5 linked regions of the Ovis aries genome follow. The protein of the gene in region 4 binds, or shares a complex with, the protein of the main gene of each other region. Links are inferred from orthologs where the notes say so. Each region holds a gene or a part of one and is shown on either strand. Other genes may lie near its edges. The genes, in order: GIPC1, GIPC2, TOM1, MYO6 and CLTA.

The links.
Region 1: the proteins of MYO6 (region 4) and GIPC1 are in contact, whole or in part, in a crystal structure (PDB 5V6E), measured with the Mus musculus proteins. The link is inferred for Ovis aries from reciprocal best matches to the Homo sapiens genes MYO6 and GIPC1. Residues at the interface, in NP_001034635.2 of Mus musculus: Ser1055, Lys1056, Trp1057, Lys1058, Tyr1059, Ala1060, Arg1084, Arg1085, Leu1086, Val1088, Tyr1089, Trp1092, Lys1093, Asn1096; in NP_061241.1 of Mus musculus: Glu273, Ser274, Tyr275, Met276, Gly277, Ile278, Arg279, Asp280, Glu282, Leu283, Thr286, Asp310, Phe311, Ala312, Pro314, Glu316.
Region 2: the proteins of MYO6 (region 4) and GIPC2 are in contact, whole or in part, in a crystal structure (PDB 5V6H), measured with the Mus musculus proteins. The link is inferred for Ovis aries from reciprocal best matches to the Homo sapiens genes MYO6 and GIPC2. Residues at the interface, in NP_001034635.2 of Mus musculus: Ser1055, Lys1056, Trp1057, Lys1058, Tyr1059, Arg1084, Arg1085, Leu1086, Val1088, Tyr1089, Trp1092, Lys1093, Asn1096; in NP_058563.1 of Mus musculus: Glu255, Leu256, Tyr257, Met258, Gly259, Ile260, Asp262, Asp264, Leu265, Thr268, Thr289, Leu290, Asp292, Phe293, Ala294, Pro296.
Region 3: the proteins of MYO6 (region 4) and TOM1 are in contact, whole or in part, in a crystal structure (PDB 6J56), measured with the Homo sapiens proteins. The link is inferred for Ovis aries from reciprocal best matches to the Homo sapiens genes MYO6 and TOM1. Residues at the interface, in NP_001355794.1 of Homo sapiens: Ile1182, Phe1184, Trp1202, Gln1214, Glu1216, His1218, Asp1220, Lys1221, Pro1222, Ile1224, Leu1226, Glu1234, Met1235, Cys1236, Leu1238, Glu1242, Thr1243, Gly1244, Leu1245, Arg1247; in NP_005479.1 of Homo sapiens: Ser440, Glu441, Phe443, Phe446, Leu447, Arg450, Ala451, Ala453, Ala454, Asp455, Leu457, Pro458, Asn459, Leu460, Ser461.
Region 5: the proteins of MYO6 (region 4) and CLTA are in contact, whole or in part, in an NMR structure (PDB 6E5N), measured with the Homo sapiens proteins. The link is inferred for Ovis aries from reciprocal best matches to the Homo sapiens genes MYO6 and CLTA. Residues at the interface, in NP_001355794.1 of Homo sapiens: Met1053, Thr1054, Pro1055, Met1058, Ala1059, Met1062, Ser1087, Trp1089, Lys1090, Tyr1091, Glu1113, Arg1117, Leu1118, Val1120, Tyr1121, Trp1124, Asn1128; in NP_009027.1 of Homo sapiens: Glu47, Asn48, Glu50, Ala51, Phe52, Ile54, Leu55, Asp56, Gly57, Gly58, Ala59, Pro60, Gly61.

The regions. Positions count from the first base shown.
Region 1 is NC_056058.1:9,615,467-9,618,224, reverse strand, and holds the end of GIPC1 (PDZ domain-containing protein GIPC1), read right to left. Parts: intron 2,135-2,758; coding exon 2,022-2,134; intron 1,694-2,021; coding exon 1,612-1,693; intron 1,469-1,611; coding exon 1,317-1,468; 3' UTR 620-1,316; downstream 1-619. UniProt on the Homo sapiens protein: May be involved in G protein-linked signaling.
Region 2 is NC_056054.1:54,582,706-54,586,229, reverse strand, and holds part of GIPC2 (PDZ domain-containing protein GIPC2), read right to left. Parts: intron 1,117-3,524; coding exon 971-1,116; 3' UTR 1-970.
Region 3 is NC_056056.1:179,193,181-179,196,811, reverse strand, and holds part of TOM1 (target of Myb1 membrane trafficking protein), read right to left. Parts: intron 3,387-3,631; coding exon 3,266-3,386; intron 773-3,265; coding exon 697-772; intron 1-696.
Region 4 is NC_056061.1:2,723,938-2,727,568, reverse strand, and holds part of MYO6 (unconventional myosin-VI), read right to left. Parts: intron 3,469-3,631; coding exon 3,318-3,468; intron 1,838-3,317; coding exon 1,629-1,837; intron 991-1,628; coding exon 912-990; intron 50-911; coding exon 1-49. UniProt on the Homo sapiens protein: Myosins are actin-based motor molecules with ATPase activity. Unconventional myosins serve in intracellular movements. Myosin 6 is a reverse-direction motor protein that moves towards the minus-end of actin filaments.
Region 5 is NC_056055.1:52,357,312-52,360,942, forward strand, and holds part of CLTA (clathrin light chain A), read right to left. Parts: intron 2,846-3,631; coding exon 2,728-2,845; intron 1-2,727. UniProt on the Homo sapiens protein: Clathrin is the major protein of the polyhedral coat of coated pits and vesicles.

The sequences.
Region 1 (2,758 bases), on a different chromosome or scaffold from region 4:
CTCCCCCAAAAACGCCGAGCCTTGGGGTGGGTTCCTCCCTATCAGCACTGACTGGGGCAGGCTGAGACCCCATCTGAAGCCCACCCCATCTTTCTTTCTCCATGCCTTCTGGCCCAGACAGCAAAGAATCTGCCTACAATGCAGAAGACTGGGGTTCGATCCCTGGGTCGGCAACCCACTCCAGTATCCCTGCCTGGGGAATTCCATGGGCAGAAGAGCCTGGCAGGATATACAGTCCACGGGGTCGCAACGAGTCAGACAGGACTGAGCGAGTAACGCTTTCACTTTCTGGCCTGGGGGCTCTCCGGGCCACTGGGTCAGAACAGACAAGGGCCCACTGCCTCTTGCCCACTGTTCACATCAGGCCAGAGGGTGGCGGGAAGCTTTGTTCGAAAGGGAGCAAGATTTGCACCCTGAGTAGACGAAGAAGCTCCGGCCTTGCCTGGAAGCCTGGTGGCTTGCAGCCAAGAGCCTCATCAGGCGGACCGGGTGGGAGGGGGCGGGTGGCTGGGGCCAGCTCTTAATTCAATTTGGAGCCCGAAGAGGATGGATTTCAGCTGCTACATTCTTTCCCAGCCCTGACCCACCCTCCTCTCCCACCCCGAAGCCAACACACAGATCCAACAGCAGATAGATTCTTTATGTTCCAGACAGCAAATTCAGGTACAAAAGCCCACCACCATCATCCCTCCCTCCTGCCCCTTCAGTCTGGGGCTGAGCTGAGGGAGACACGAGCGGGGCTGGGGAGGGAGGGAGTTTGGGGGGGTTTCACAGCAGACTAGTGTTTCAAATGCGGAGGTAACAGACTCCACAGTGAGGGGGCTCCTCTGGGGAGATGGGGGGGGGGTGGTGGAAGAGGAGGGCATTATTGCATTTGCTGAGGGGGGGGACACACCCCCCTCCTGCATTCCCTGCATCAGGAAACTAGGGAGGTCACGACCCCCAAACAGAACCCGAGGCCCCAGGGAGATAGGAGGGACCAGTTTGGCAGCTGAGGCGGAAAGTATTGGGGGCAGGGAGGTGGGGGTGGCCACCCAATCTGGCTGGTCCCTCTCCACCGCTGTGCCTGACCCTGGCTGAGGTAGGTGGGGAGGAGGGCGGGGGTGGGGGGCTGGGCGCCCCAGCCAGGCTGGGAACTGGCGAGGGGGTGGTACCGATTGGAGGAGGGGCAGAGGCCCAGCCCCACCTCCGCTCCGCATCATCTCCAGGCTACTGAGCTGGGCCAGAGCCAGACACTGGGGTCCAGGCTACGGTGTCTCCGCCCCAGAGGCTCCCACCGGGCCTGGCCCAAGTCATCTCGAGGTCCAGCGGAAGGCCTAGTAGCGGCCAACCTTGGCGTCCCCGATGGCACCCCAGACGTCAAAGACAAACTCATCCGGGAAGGCGAAGTCACCCAGCCGTTCATCCAGGGCCTCAGCCAGCTCATCCGGGTTCCTTTTGTCCTTTCCGAGCTCCACCATGGTGGCCGCTGGAGGGGGAAGGACAGGGGAGCAGAATGGAGGCACAGATGACAGAGGGGCTCAGGGTAGACTTGGCCCCCCAGGACCTGCAAGCCCCTTTCTCCCACACTCCCACCCATCCCCAGACCCTGATGACCCCCTCCTCACTTACCCAACTCTGTGTCCCTGATGCCCATGTAACTCTCTAACAGGTCATCCACCTTCTCAATGGCCTTCTCCTCAAAGGCTGAAGGCTGGGGGCGGAAAGAGGGAAGACGACATTATAATAATGTGAATATACCTGTAATTATACTGAACGCTGAGTGCAAATTTTTTTTTACACCACTTTTGGTATAGAAACCCACGGTTCTTCCTCATGACAACCCCAAAAGTTTCACAGATTAGGAAACTGAGGTCCACTTGCCTAAGGAAGGTCCCAGAGCTGGGAGGTGGCAGAGGTGGATGGACATCCAGTGCCCAGAGGCCCTCAGCTAAGAGTGATGCTGCCACCTATGAATTTCACAGGAAAGTGGTGGTGGGGGGTGGAGCGGGGAGGGACTTAGGCTCGGCTGGCACACTCACCAGATCCTCTACTGTGGCTGGACCCCGGGATCGGAGCCGGAGGGTCCCTCGGCCAGTACCCAGCTGGGGACCGGAGCCAGGGCGGCCACCCCCTGAACGCACGCTGATCATGTCTGTGGGAGATAGGGGGATGGGGTGAGGACTGGAGAAGCCCAGTTCCAGCATGTTCTGGGCAGAAACCCAGACATCCCGGCCTCAGCCCACCCTCCACCTTCTCCAAGCTTCTGTAGGCTTTGGGGGCACTGGGGGTGGAGGTGACCCCAGGAGGGCAGGTCTCCTGACTCTGGCTTGGCGGGGTGTAGGAGGCACAGCCAGGGGCTAGGATTGGAAAAGGGCTGGGAGGCTGGAGGGGACCACTCCTGTTCCCAGGGCCGGAGGGACAGGAAGGGGATGGGTCCTGGGTCTCTATCTACTTTCCCCAAGGCCAAGGGGGTTTAGCTGCTGGGCAGCAGACCAACCCTATCTGCCTGGGGAAGTGTTTTAGACCAACCCTATCTGCCTGGGGAAGTGTTTTAGAGTCCCCCTCCCCCACGCCAGGGACCTTGAGCCCATTCCGGAGAGTTAATGAAGCTGGACAAAAAAGTAGGGGGCCTGGCACAGGGCAGCCAAGCCTGGCTTCTTGGGGCTAGGGGGTTGGCCAGGTTGGGGGCGCTTGGCTAGGCTAATGGCTCCTGGAAGCTGGGTGTGGGGGCAACTTCCTCCTTGCCTCCATCCTCCACCTGAGCTGGGCAGAGAGC
Region 2 (3,524 bases), on a different chromosome or scaffold from region 4:
TCCTGCATTTTCACTTGGAGGAAATCTATTCTGATAGCATCTCCTTAAAAGTTTAGGAGACTTAAAAGTTTTGCTCTTTAACCACCCCCTAAAAATGTCCTCAAACACAGCTATTTTCTGAGTAAACATCTTTCAAAAGAAAAGCTCTACAAAGACTATAAAAAACTTTCTCTGGAATGCTTATAAAGGGTAACATAAGAGTAGGTATGAGTGGAAAATAAATAATGTTGTAAGAACTGCTAAAAAATTAAATATTAGTGTTTTCTAATGATAGGTTAGAAGATAGTTCCTCTTTTTCACCTTCTTCTACACATGCAAACACATTTACAACACAATAGATTTCAACAAGTTTAAGAATCAAGAAAGCAATTACAAAGAAGCAAAAAATAAAAGTTCATCAATCCTTGTTTTAATAAAGACAGAAAGTAGGCCATAGACTTTAATAGGTTGTAGGACTCTTCCTCCTCTTACTCAGCAGGTTTAAAAAAAAAAAATGTTACCAGACATCTAGGAGGCATAATTCACATTTCATGTTCTGAACCCATCCTGTTAAAACTAGTATAACAAAATGAAGACTCTATGAGGCAAACTATACTGCAATCCTAGTTTTTACTACATTAAGATCTTGCAAAAGAACTACAAAGCTATTGCAATCAACTTTTATGTGAAAAACAAAACACGGCTGTCAATGGGAAACAAAATTATCTATCTAGAAATACTCTCTAAAACTAACTTTTAAAAAGCTTTTGAATGAATATTAAAATTGGTTACATTTGAGGTAATTTATCTTAAGCATACTCCATATACAACTGCATTTAAAAAGCGCCCAGAAATCAAGACTATATTTCAGAAGAATGTATTCATACACATAAAACCAAGCCAGAGTCCATAACAGTGTCTGAAGGCAGATCTTACTTTTTTCTTAAGAAACAATGGTGCATTCTTCCAGAGTCGATCATTCACATCATAATCATTCTTGTTTGGCATCACCAATGACTCCCCAAACATCAAAGACAAATTCATCTGGGAACGCAAAGTCTCCAAGAGTTTCATCAAGTGCCACAGCAAATTCATCTGGATTACCTTTGTCCTTTCCAGCTTCAAACATTGTAGTAGCTATCAAAAATAATTTTTTAAAATTAATGATACATCATTAATGATACATTAATGATACAGCATCAGAGGGCTGAGAAAACGGGCAACAGGAAAAGCATTTTCCAAAAGTTACACAGATACATATATACATACTTCTAGCACAAATTAAAATAACATGCTATCATCACATATCAAGTTAGCAAAGATGTTTTAAACCATCTATCTTTGGCACCCAGGTTTGCAGTTGCTACCCCGACCTCTCCTCTGTCTTGAAGTCCATCAGATAGGAACTTCTGGTGTTCCTGTGGGTGGAGCAACAATTCCTGAAAGAAAACCCTGTGGTTAACCCAGAGAGGAAACCCAGAGTACTCCCTTCCTCACTTCCCCATAGTAACTAGCTCTTTCTGTCCCGTCTGCCAGTCCCCCACCTGCAACTATGAAAAAAAGACAAAGAATAACAGTTTGGAGAAATCAAGCTAGAGAGAAGCGGGGGGAATCTGTCTACTCATGGAACTGAGGTAGCTCTTTTTGAGTCCATTTCCAGGTTGGGTTAGAAAGTGAAGATGGTACCCTTGTTCTGTTTTTCTAATGAGTTGCCTGGACATATTTTATGTCTGGGAAACCAGCATCTTCAGGAGTAAACATTCCCATGAGACCTGCACCACCTGGCGGGGATCCCATAGGACTCAGCTGGCTTTTTGTAATTCCTCTAAAGCATTAGCTACCAGAAGAGACAGTGTGGATGCAATTTGGGACTTGGGTGAAAAACAGCTGGGTAAAGGGAAATACCAAAGCCCAGTTTTTCCCCTAGGCTAATATTTACATAAGTATACATATATATATACACACATATATATACATATATATATATGGTTGTGCTGGATCTTCATTGCTGCACACAGTCTTTCTCTAGTTGTATTAGCAGGGGCTACTCTTCATTATGGTGAGCAGGCTTCTCATTGCAGTGGTTTCTCTTGTTATAGAGCACGGACTCTAGGCACACGGGTTTCAGTAATTGCAGCATGCAAGCTCAGCAGCTACAGCTCATGGCCTTAGTTGCTCCATGGCACGTGGAATCTTTCCAGATCAGAGATCACCCTCATGTCCCCAGCATTGGCAGGTAGATTCTTATCTGCTATACCACCAGGGCAGTCCTCAGGTTAAGGTTAAACAAACCAAAGGTTATATGATTTCTATGAATGAGCCAAGAGGTTGGTCCTTCCAATTAAAATCCACTAGGTCTCTTAAGGACATTTAAGAACTGTTTTTCATCTCAAACATTTCAGTACTAACACGGGTAGGCTGGGGGAAGGAAAGAGATGTGGCCCATAGAGGAACACCATAATCAGAGCAGAAGTGGGATGTGGATGGGGTGACCTGGGGCAGGGGTCAAAGTCCTAATTAAGTAAGAAGGGCTTCCTCTTGGCTGGACAACCTGTTATAGGGTGGAGTCCAGGTGTGGTAAGGGGAGCATGGGGGAGGGGAGAGGAAGACAGCAGCCACACTGATGAGAGATTGGTTATATACATGGGCATGGATCACATAAGCATATAAACAATGAATAATGGGAAAGAAGTTTTGTCACTGTCAGAGAAAGATTAACAGGAAAAAGGAGAAAACTAGAATGAACCCTGCTAAATTAGAATTGTAGAGATCAGTGAAATACGTATTTTTAGAAAGAGATGAAAAACTATAGAGGTAAAGACATGAACACACACATTCCCCAATCCACTGGGAGGGCCCGGGAGAAGCGGCATCCCAATAGCAATGAGCAGACAAAACACCCAGATCTTGGTTGTTAAATATCATTCTCCACTAAAAAGAATCAGAGTTCCTCAGAGAAATGGCTGATTCCAGGGCTGGAGTAGGCAAAGTACAATATGAACCAAGAATATCTCCTCCAGAAACTAATGTCTCCCCAAAAATGGTAGGAACATGTGAAAAGACACAGAAATCAGAACGGAAGAATTCCCATTGACCCAATGAGGGACAATCTGAGCATCAGAATTAGTGATGGTCATAGATTATAATCCTATTGAACAAAACAGGAAACCAAGAATCCATAATGAAGTGATTGGTTGATTGACAAACAGATGGATGAAAGGTTGGTTGGTTGATTCACAAGGAACAGGATATTTACATAGCTTCAAAATATATCCTCACCAAATACTTATTATGAAGAGGATAACTTTCAGTGGAGAAGCTTAGCAGATACCACCTAAAGAAGTCATCAACATCATAAACAGAACAAATCGAAGTCTTGTGCCTCCAAGTAAAATATAATGAAAAGAACACATCACTACATTTGTGATATTTCTGCCAGAGGTGCAACCTGAATGCTATTATGAAAAAAGAATCCAAAACTGAGGCACATTTTACAAAATAACTGACTTGTACCCCACAAAAGTATGAAGGTCATAAAAATTAAG
Region 3 (3,631 bases), on a different chromosome or scaffold from region 4:
TCCTGTGCCCCTCTCCCCATTCCAGAGGACAGGGCAGCTTCCACAGCCTCCTGACTGCTCTCCCAGCTTCCAGGCTGAGTCCTCTTAAAATCAAGTTAGATAAATGTCCCCCTGCCAACCTCTGCTCCAGACTGCCCAGGGCTCCCACCTCAGGCAGGAGAAGCCAGTCCTCCCAGTTGCCCCTCAGGCTTCACGTTCCAGCGCCCAGTCCCACCTGTACCTTTGAAGCCCTGGGTTGTGACCAACCCCCTCCTTGGCCCTGCTGTTCACTGGCCTTGCCTCTCCAGCGCCCAGGTCCTGCACGTTGTAACTACCGCTCTCTGCCCAAAAGGCACCCAGAAACAAATTTAAAGGCAAGGGAACTGTCCTTGGAACTCCTGCCAAGGGGGCAAGTGGCTGGTACAGCGTGCTCAGTGTGGCAAGTGGCTTTCATTCCACATATGCCAGCAGTTAAATGGAATACAAGTGGCACCTTTGGGTGCCTCCCTGTGGTTTTAGGGTCTGTCCTCCAGCCCCTCTCTGTCCACATTCCTGCAGATAACAGGGCTCTGGAGGGGCAGAGGGGCTGAATACTAGCTCAGCTCCAAGTCAGTGCTGAGCCCCTCCCATCCACACTCTCACACCTCCTGTCATAAACCAGGGGCACCGCCAGGCAAGCACTGCCCAGCCTTCCTCTGGACAGGCCCCTCTGCTTACCGCTCCAGTGCTCTGCTGCCGGGCATCCAGGGCTCCAGCCAGGCCATCTGTTGCTTGAGGGGCTTCGTATTTTACCCTGAAATACAGAGGCCACTGTGGCCATTACCTGCCACCCTCACCATACCAGACATGCCAGCCGACATGAGGAGGGAAGGGGTTGGGTGGGCAAGGGCTAGACCCACATTCTGTGTGGACTCAGAATGTGCCTGGGCAGGAGCCCCAAGAGGGGCACCAATCTGCAGGCCTGCCTTGAGATGGAGCAAAAGGTCTCCTTTCCTGCCTTTGGGAACCTGGGTCAGACATGTGGCTTGTATGACAGGCAGAGCGAGGCTGGAGAAGCGAGGTGTTGGGGGTCAGAGACCAAGTCCACCGACCTCCTATTCCTGGATTTGGCCACACTACAGGGATGAGCACAGCGTCCCAGACCCCGTGGTCATGGAGAGCTCGTATCTAGACCCTCTCCAGAGCAGCTCCCACAGCGTAATTTCAGAACCTGTGGTTCTGTGAAGGCTGTGTGTGAACGGGGGAACCGCACTCTGCAGCTGAAAACAGACCTGCAGACGGCGGGTGAGGATTCTGCATGCGCTCGGGGTGCCAGCCCCGGCGACTGGGAGGAAACGCGGGGGACACTGTACCCTCCGAGCAGAGGAGGGTGGGGAGGGAGGGATCTGCCGTGTCTCCAGTGAAGGTTCGGGGGAGCGGGAGGAAAGCCCGTGCTAACAAGGGGGCTGGTGTCTCTCTGGCTGCTACAGAGGGGGACATCCAGGGAGGCTTCGGGGACATGGTCCAGCAGCTTGGGAAGAGCTGTCATTCTTGCCCTGAACTGCTGGCAGAGAGGAGGTGAGACTGGGTCAGTCTTTTTTCTTCTGGTGGTCATGTATGATATGTGGGATCTAGTTCCCTGAAAGGGATCGAAACTGTGCCCCCTGCATTGGAAGCATGGAGTCAATCACTGGACCATCAGGAAGTCCCTGGGTCAGCTGTTGAGGTGAAGATGAGAATCTTGGGATTCTAGCCTCAAAGGAAAGCCCTGCGCCATTAGGGAGGAGGGGTCTTCTTCCAGGTGGGGTGGGTGGGGAGCACCTCACACTGCTGGAGCTGGGCTGGACCAGCGCAAGCATAGCACATGTGGCTCTGATAGTGCCAACCTGCCTCCCTGGGGACTGGGTAGGCTGGCAACTTAAAGGGGGCTCTAGAATAAACCCCCAAATTCTCAGGCAGCCTTTCTGAAGAACAGAGATAGCCAGGAGGGCATGGGAATTGGCGAGTTAACCCTGTCACATGGCTCACCACGCAAAGGGGCTGCAGCCAACCAGAAAACTGGGTGTCTCACTCTACCCCTGCCTGACCCTTTACACGAACTGATCCACAGCCTAGCACTGCACAGCAGCGGCCCACAGGCAGGCTACCTCCCAATCCCAAGAGACTGCAGGCTCTGGAGGCAAGCTCGGGGTGTGCTTTTCTCTGGCCTTCAGGGCTCCCCAGAGTAGGGACAGCACAGCTGCAAACCTCAGCCGGGCCACCCTTCTGGCGGCAAGTCCCACCAGACTCATTAGCCTCCAGTCACACAGCAGCCTCACTGCGCCCCTACCTCCAAGGTGACCGTGAGCCACTGGTCCCAGGGCATCTGGGCTTGGGAGCACAAACTCCGCCCCAGACTCAAGGGTTCGGCTCACAGGGCAGGGCTGGCCAGCCAGTGGGTGGGGCTGTGAGCAGCCCTATGAGCCAAGCCGGCTATAGCCTGTCAGGTTTCACTGGGACTGGCCAGAGTGGATGGGGGACCCCTGGGCCCTCTGGAGGCCTATCAACAGCTCCCAAGGAGACCGGAATGGAGTCTGCCAAGAAGTTCCCTTAGTCCAGTGCTTTCCTTGGTTTTACATCCTGGTTACCTGGTACCTGGTACCTGCCCCGGGGTTACAAGCAAAAGGCTGATAACAGCCCTAAGCAAACCCTGTCCCCTGATCAGCCATATGGAGCTGGTCCTGGGAAGCCGGCCTGGTGGACATTTGGCCATGTGGCCTCCACTGCTAAAAGTATCTCCCTGAAAATGGACAGTCCCAGGAAGCATAGAGCCCAAGCTCGAGGGCAGGGCAGGCAGACTCGAGTGGGATAATGCAACTTCCATGGAAATTAAGGCTGGTTGCAGAATAGCAGAAATCACTGGACCAGTCTCTGAGGGCTTGGTACATGATGTACAGTGCAGTGGGGAGCTGGGCTGGGTTGGGACACTGCGTTTTAGAACCAGACAGTCTGGGGTTCCTGACTCTGTCAAACATTAGCTGCCTGAGGTGGGGCAAATGACCAGCCTCTCAGAGTCTCTGTTTCCTCATCTGCTCGGCTTGTGTAAGATTCTGGAACCAAGCTAGTCGTCACCCAATGGGCGTCCCTCCCTCATCCATCCCAGGCCATGTAGGACTGACTCAGGGGGAAAAACTCTGCCATCCTGAGGGGGTGCAGGTAGGGGCTGGTGTGCCCACCCATACACCGAGCTCAGGGACCTGGAGAGAGGCCCTCCCCTGACAGCGGTTGACCCAAACCGCAGGAGCCCAGGGTGGGTTTCAGCACTCACTCTTTGCGTTGGTCAGCCAGTGAGCTGCCCCGCGTCAGTGCAAACATGTCAAACTCATCTTCCAGTCGGCCGGAGGCCTCCAGAGACTGCAGGCCAGCCCTCACGCTGCTGGAGCCCAGGTCTGTGGGGACAAAAAGACCACATGAAGGGTCTGCCTGGCTGTCCTTGGAGTCATGGCTGGGCTGCTTCCTGCCAGGCCCAGGTCGGTTCTGGAGAAGCAGGGCAACTTGGAGTGGGGCAGGGTAGGGCATATGGGTGGGACAGGCCACCTGCTGGCTGAGGGACACCGGGCACCTCACCTCCTCTCTCTCAATTACTTCTGAGCAGGCAGCCGATAACACTTAACAGATCAAGTGACGATGGTGC
Region 4 (3,631 bases):
GCTGGGTCTCCTCCTCCCGCTGCCGGGCCAGCTGCGCCTCCACCTCTGCCTGCCGGCACAGAAGGCCTTGACGCCGGGCCCCTCTCTCTCTGCTCATCCCCTCACTGTGCACACTTGCTCCATACACGTTTTTTCTTTTTTTTTTTAAACTAAGAAATACATACTCTTTACCCAGAAATCTACCATCTTCTCCCCTTCTATATTATGATTAATGTTTCCTCAAGCCCCAAAGTAAGAATCCGCCATTCTATCACTAGAATATGAGTCTCCCAAACATCACATCAGTAGCCTTGGTGTGACCTGAATACCAACACCTACACTGCAGATTTCAGGAACTTAAAGTATTGGTTGTGTTCAGGATAAATCAGAAAGCCAAGACAGACACTCAAAATAGGATTAATTATTCTCAGACATGGATTTTTTTTTTAAAGATGGTGGCAATAGTGAGAGTATCTTAATCCTAACCTATTAATATTAGCATCTACAAAGTTATAAAATAACATTTAAAAATATTAGATAATTATGTTGTGACTGAATGCTGATCTGACTGTCCCCCTCTAAATGATGACAAACTAATACCTACTAAACAAGGCACTGTTCTAAATGCTTTAATAGGTATTATCTCATTTAATGCTCACAATTATTATTTATCTCCATTCCAGAAAGAAAACTGTGGCCCACAGTCACTCACTGTAACTCCTGCAATATCACGATTTCTGTCAGTGAGAGGCTGGATTTGAACTCACTTCCCTAGCTCCAAAGTCCCTTCCTATAACCACTTCTGAAACTGCCTTTGCTCTCTAGGATAAATCAGTGACAATTTATCTAGTAAATGAAGATCTTCTTTTGTTTTATAGTTTTGCAGATTCTATTTAGTAAGAATTCAGTCTGACTGCCTAGAAAGTACAGACCTGAATACGTTTTTCATCATCTTCTCTTTTCTTTCTTTCTTCTTCTTCTTGTTTTCTCTTTGCTTCCATCTCAAGTTTCCTAAAAAAAAAAAAAAAAAAAAAATTAGAAAACTCTTCAAAAATTAACAGAAAATAAGAAACTCTTCAGAAGAAAGTTTATTAATAAATAAATGTTACAAAATGGGAAGTCAAATTAACCTATTACATTATTAACTTATTTTCTGAAAAATAAAATCTAACTTTGATAGCAGCTCTTTAGAAACAAAAGAAATAATTATATTCCATAACCTTTAACATCTCTGGATTAACTTGGTTACCAAGCGTACTTGTAAGGTCTTAATCACACTGCCTCTCCAATTAGACAACTCATATTCCTTCTGTCTGCCCTACTATGGCAAGCTTCCAAAATTTTATCAGTTTTAAAACTGCAGAAAAGTACTTTCTTCCTAGATCATAAAATAATATGAAAGTCAGTTTCAAAAAGAAGTTAAGAAATCCTCAGGTGTGAGTTTAACCAAAATTCAGATTATAATTAAAATCATTTTATGTTACTGTAAAGTGAGCTTACTTTCTCCATTTTCAAACTTCTTCTAAAATTAGTATTTAAATATAAGAATATCACTTTTACAGATAAGAATATTCATTAACCACCGTCAACACTTCAGAGTTCACTATGGCGTCAGTTTCTAATCCAAGGCAACAACATAAATGCCTTACATCCGCCTTTCCTCCTCCTCCTTCCTTCGACGTTGCTCATCTTCTTCACGTCTTTTTCTTTCTTTTTCCATTTCTTCTTGAATGCGCCTCAGCCTTTCTGCTTCTTCCTCCTGCTGCTTTTTCTTCTGCAGCGCGCTGAGAAGGACCTCTGAGCTTTGAACTAGAGCATCATACTCTTTCTGTATTTGTTCCCTTGTCATCACCGTGGACTGAAAGAAAGAACACAATGGACGTGCACTTAAAAAGTCATCTCTTCTGCTGTACAACAGTTAGAACACACTGAACACCACTGAACTGTACATTTAAAACCTGGTTAAAGTGGTAAGTTTAATGGTATGCGTTTCACACAATTAAGGAAACAAACCACCATGCACAGACACAGCAAAACTGAAAAAGCTGGTAAGCAGGAGGCCCACTATCTTTTTATTGCTTAAATATTAAAGAATACTTAAATTTTAAGTTATCTCTATGAACAAAATTTGAGTCTACTTCCTATCAAGTAATCAAGTATCTTAAGAGTATACTGTGCACAAACTAATATACTGTAGTTAAAGTTTATTTTTTAAGAAATGATTAATTTTGCCAGAATTTACTACTCTTTAATATTAAGGATCAAATAATACATTGGGGATATTTAAGAAATTATCATTATACCCAAAATTGTTGGATGATTTTCTTAAATGTGGCTGGGTTGATTTTAATTGATTAATACCACATAAACAGGGGTGGTTCTGGACAGATCTGTAAAATCAGCTAAGGCTATCCAAAGCATTTTCAGTTTTCTCTTGACTTCTTTCTCCATTCTTACTCCAAGATTTATCATTATCTGTAGAAAATATCTAAAAGTCTCACTTTAAGATATTATATTTCACATAACTGCAATGAATTATGAAAGTCAATGAGAAAAACATTGAGGCCCTAAAATATTACAGAAAATGATACGAATAGATGAACAAAATCAACAAACAAGCACAAAGAAAAAATTTTCAATCCCACTAGTAATCAAACAAAAATCAAAACCAAAGATGCCCTCTCGCTTTTTTTCTTACAAAATATGGGAGAAAATTAATTGTTATTTCGTGAAAGTTAAGTAATTTATGATATAGCCTACATGAAAATAATTTAATAATAGGGACGAGGCAATAACATAATGATAGGAATGTGAAATATAATGTACCTTATAAGAACGGTGCAAAAATATGTGCATATAAAATAAGACTGAGAGGAACATGCAACAGTATATAGGTGAATGTGTTAGTGTGAGGGGTAAAGAAGTGGGGCAGATTTTCTCCAAATTTTTGAGACTATTACTTTTAAAATTTAAAAATTAGTTTCTGAAAGTAGAAAAGCATGAAACAAAATAAAACAATTTGCATTAATTTTCTCTCAGTAATGATTTTGCAAAAGCTTACCAAAAGTATAATATTTTAGTTAATATTTTGGAAAAGTCTTTCCTAGCAACAAATGAATTGCACAAAAATTGTCTTCATTTTAATTTTTTTGCTATGAAAAATTTCAAACACAGAGTAGAGAAAATAAGATGACTATCACTTATCACTGAGACTCAACACATCTAACAGTCTGTATTTTTTTTAAAAAAGGACATTTTTCTATAAAATTTCAATATAGTAACAAAAAATATTAAACTGTTTTTAAAAGTCAAAAGTGATTTGGGTTAAAACTACATACCTTAATTTTGGCCATTAAAGCATCAATAGAAATTTCAAGGTCCTTGACCTGTTTATTCATCTCTGGTTTTCCATCTTTCAATGCATTTACTACTTCATTAAATTTATGGAGCCGTTTTTTCAGTGTGCCCACCTTAACCAGGCCATCAATGCTGCAAAGATAATACTTTATCACTTTAATTCTACCATTTAATCATACAAATAGATTTTTCATTTTAATTAAATGCTAAAAATATGACTAAACAGAATACTTCTGTTTTCATGTTATGCGATATATATTTTTTAAGGTCTCTTGTTGAGGGTAAAAGAAATCAT
Region 5 (3,631 bases), on a different chromosome or scaffold from region 4:
CAAAAAATTAGTTTTGGATTGGGGAGTATTTTCCTTTTGTGTCATCTAATGATTTTTTTTTAAAAAGGTTATATATTAGAATCAAAATATGGAAATGTATCCCTGAAAAAGTAGTCAAAAACTGTGTCTATTTGCACAGATTATAGTTAATGCATAATATAGTGCCTGTAAACCACCTTCTTGCTTTTATAGATTTAAGAAGTGGCACTGGCAATGAGAATTTAGAATTCTTAAATGCTTAGCTTGATGCAGCAAAGATCCCAGCTGAAATACAAGCTCCTTCTACCTGGGAGGGAGAAGGCAGAGCAGGGCTCACGGACAGCCGTCTTCTCTGGTCATGCTCATTACTGTTCACAGCAAAGTATTGGAAAACACCTCCCACAGCCAAGCTGAAAACCATGGCTACTGCTTATCTATTTTTAGCATCTTGCACTTTCTCATAGTTCTTGCAAGGGAAAAAGGTGAAACTGCAGAAACACCTAATTCATGGACCAACTTAATTCAATTCCATTGGAACATGAGGCCAAATATTTGACTTCCCTCAGGAAGGCATCTTAAGAAAACAACACTTTGTGGAATATTCCCAAAGAGCCCAAATTGTTAACTGAAAATGAAAATGAAATTTTTCCACACACCAAAGTATACTCTTCTCCATGTAGAAGTCAACTTTGCTAAACTTTGGGGAAAGAGAAAAGATATATCTGAGTTCTGCAACACGAAGAAGATTCCAGTAGCAATAATAGTTGCTACGTCAAGTCTTGCCTCAAAGTCTACTCAGAAGAGATATTTAAAGAATAGCAAGGAGCAAGGCTGCTAGCACCAGGAAGACCAATCTTCACCTTTTAAAAACTACACTATCCAGTACAGGGACTACTAGCTTCATATGGCTATTTAAATTTATTAAAATTAAATAAAATTTAAAATTCAGTTTCTCAGTCATACTAGCCACAAGCAGCTAGTGGTTACATTCAGAACAGCACTGATACGGAACATTTACATCATCAAAGAAACTACTATTGAATAATGCTGAGAGATTAAGTGTGCCCGCTGTTTGGAAAGCCACATAAATTACACTGGAGAGACACTAATTGGCTGTATTATCTGGGTCAAGTCCTTTCCTATTTCTAGGTGTCAGTCACACCATCTGAGTCATGTCTTCACTAGTTCAGTCATTCTCAAGAAGGAATAATAATGCTGTCACTGTGGTTACAGACGCATATTGCTATTTCTAGATGTACAATAAAATATTTATGCATAAAGTATCTGGTGTTTGTATCTGAATGGATCAGAAAAAAAAATTATGTGTATATTCACAATACACATAAATGTGTAGGCATGTGAGTGGGCTTCCCTGGTGGCTCAGCTGGTAAAGAATCCGCCTGCAATGCAGGAGACCTAGGTTCGATCCCTGGGTTGGGAAGATCCCCTGGAGAAGGGAAAGGCTACCCACTCCAGTATTCTGGCCTGGAGAATTCCATGGACTGTATAGTCCACTGGGTCGCAAAGAGTCAGACACGACTGAGCGACTTTCACTTCACTTTCACATTAGTGTATAAAACATATACAGGATTTCCCTGGTGGTCCAGTGGTTAAGAATCCACCTTTCGATGCAGAGACATGAGTTCCATGCTTGGTTGGGGAAGGAAGAATCCACATGCTGCGGGGTAACTAAGCCTGCGTGCCACAACTAAAACCTGCCATAGACGAATAAATATTTTAATACCAAAAAATAAGAACGTATACACACACCTCATTTATATAAAGAGCCAAATATGGCAAAATGTTCACTACTGAACCTGAAGGAAGGGGCACGTTTTATTCTCACTCTATGTTTGAAATTTTAATAAAGAGTTGAGAAGAGTACTCCACGGTTAACATCCCCTGCCCCACCACACCTTTTCAACACCCATGGACAGATACCAAGTCTCTCCTAATCTTGACCAACAGCTGACACTCCATGGAGAAGGCTCTTCACCAAAGGCCAGGCTGACTGGCACTGACCTTGGGCTTGGCCTGCCCTCAAAATGCTGTAAGCTAAGTGCAATGCTGCTGAGAGATGGGTATGGATTCTGAAGCAGGGCAGACTTAAGCTGAAATTCTGACTCTACCACTTTTAGCTGTGTGATTCAAAAACTTACTCTTCCTATGATCCTCCTTTTCCTCACCCATAAAAACTTAAGAACTCACAGGGATGTTAGCGTGAGAAGACCCAACTGTACATACTTCCTAACATTCCTCTCACTTTCCTCTTAAGCATTACCTTAAATTCAGCCTTCAAATTGTCAATGGACTGTGCAGTCCCTCGCATGGATATAACATCTTCAGGTTTATGAAGCACTTTCATATATACCATCTCAGACTACCCTTGGGGTTGGTAACACTGATCTTACTTCACAGATGAAGAAACAGGCTCTAAGGTTTGAGCAACCAAGTGCCCGCAGCTAGTAAAGAGTTACGGTTTGACCTGGAACCCAGTCTTTCACTCCAAGACTCTATCCACAGCACCACTCTGCCCTTTCCGAGAAGGGAGGGTGCACTTGTGACTCTGGGCTTGTGATGAAGCATCTCCATGTAGGTGGTGTTGTGATCTTCTCATTGTGAAACATACCCTCTCCAAAACTGGACAAGGACATTACGGCTAATTCATGTTAAAAATGGGTAACAGTAGAGTCAAGGTCAACTATTCCACTGAAAACAGACACCCGAAGACAGAAAGGGATTCCTTACCAAGGGCTTCCAAGCGTTCCGTCTGCTCTTCTCTCCATTTACGGATACTTTCAGGCTCTGACTGCAATCGATCCACTTGTGAAATAGCTGCGTAACTGTCTGTCGGCCCATTACTCTCCTTAACAGAAAACACAGTTGTGCTCTATCAGTTCCAAAACCTCCTCCCCGACATGCCCTTCACCCAAGTTAGAACCCCTGGTTACGTGCCACACTGATGGCTGCTCTAAATGTGAAGGAGCAACAACATCCTTACATGCTGGTAGGAAGCTTTCAACGTGATGCACTCAAGCCTTACAACCCACAAGGTAGGCAGAGTAGCTGTTATCCGGCTACTAAATGAGACATGAGTGGGAGAAAGCAAAGTTGGGGAAGTGGGTAATGGACTTACTAGGAAAACAGTATCATCAACTTTGTTTTCCTTACTTGACAAAGAGACTATAATATCTTCAAAGTAACAAAGGTAAATACATGATACAGTAAGACCTAGAACCTGACACTTCCAAATGCTTATTATACAATACAGGGAAAAGTTCACTGTATACCACCTAGGCAAACTACAGTGAATTCTAGGGAAGAGAGTCCAAAAGAAAATGCATAGTTAGTACAGTCATACCAAGAAAAAGAAAAAAAGGCAGGCAAATGTGAATCAGTGTATGTGGCAGTGGGTAGGAGGGAGCGGGTGGGTAGGGGGCTGACTCTTCTTTATAGTGGCTAAGATTGGGGAGCTAGTAAACAAGTTGATAAAGATTCAAATGGAATTTAATCTTTAGAGAATTACTGCACCTACTGAACTAGGAACATTACCAGCTTAACCTCAGCAGACTATAAACAAAGATGGAAAGCAAACGATTTACAGTAGTATTCACTTATTATTAGAACCGTCCATGTTTCAGCCACATGAACC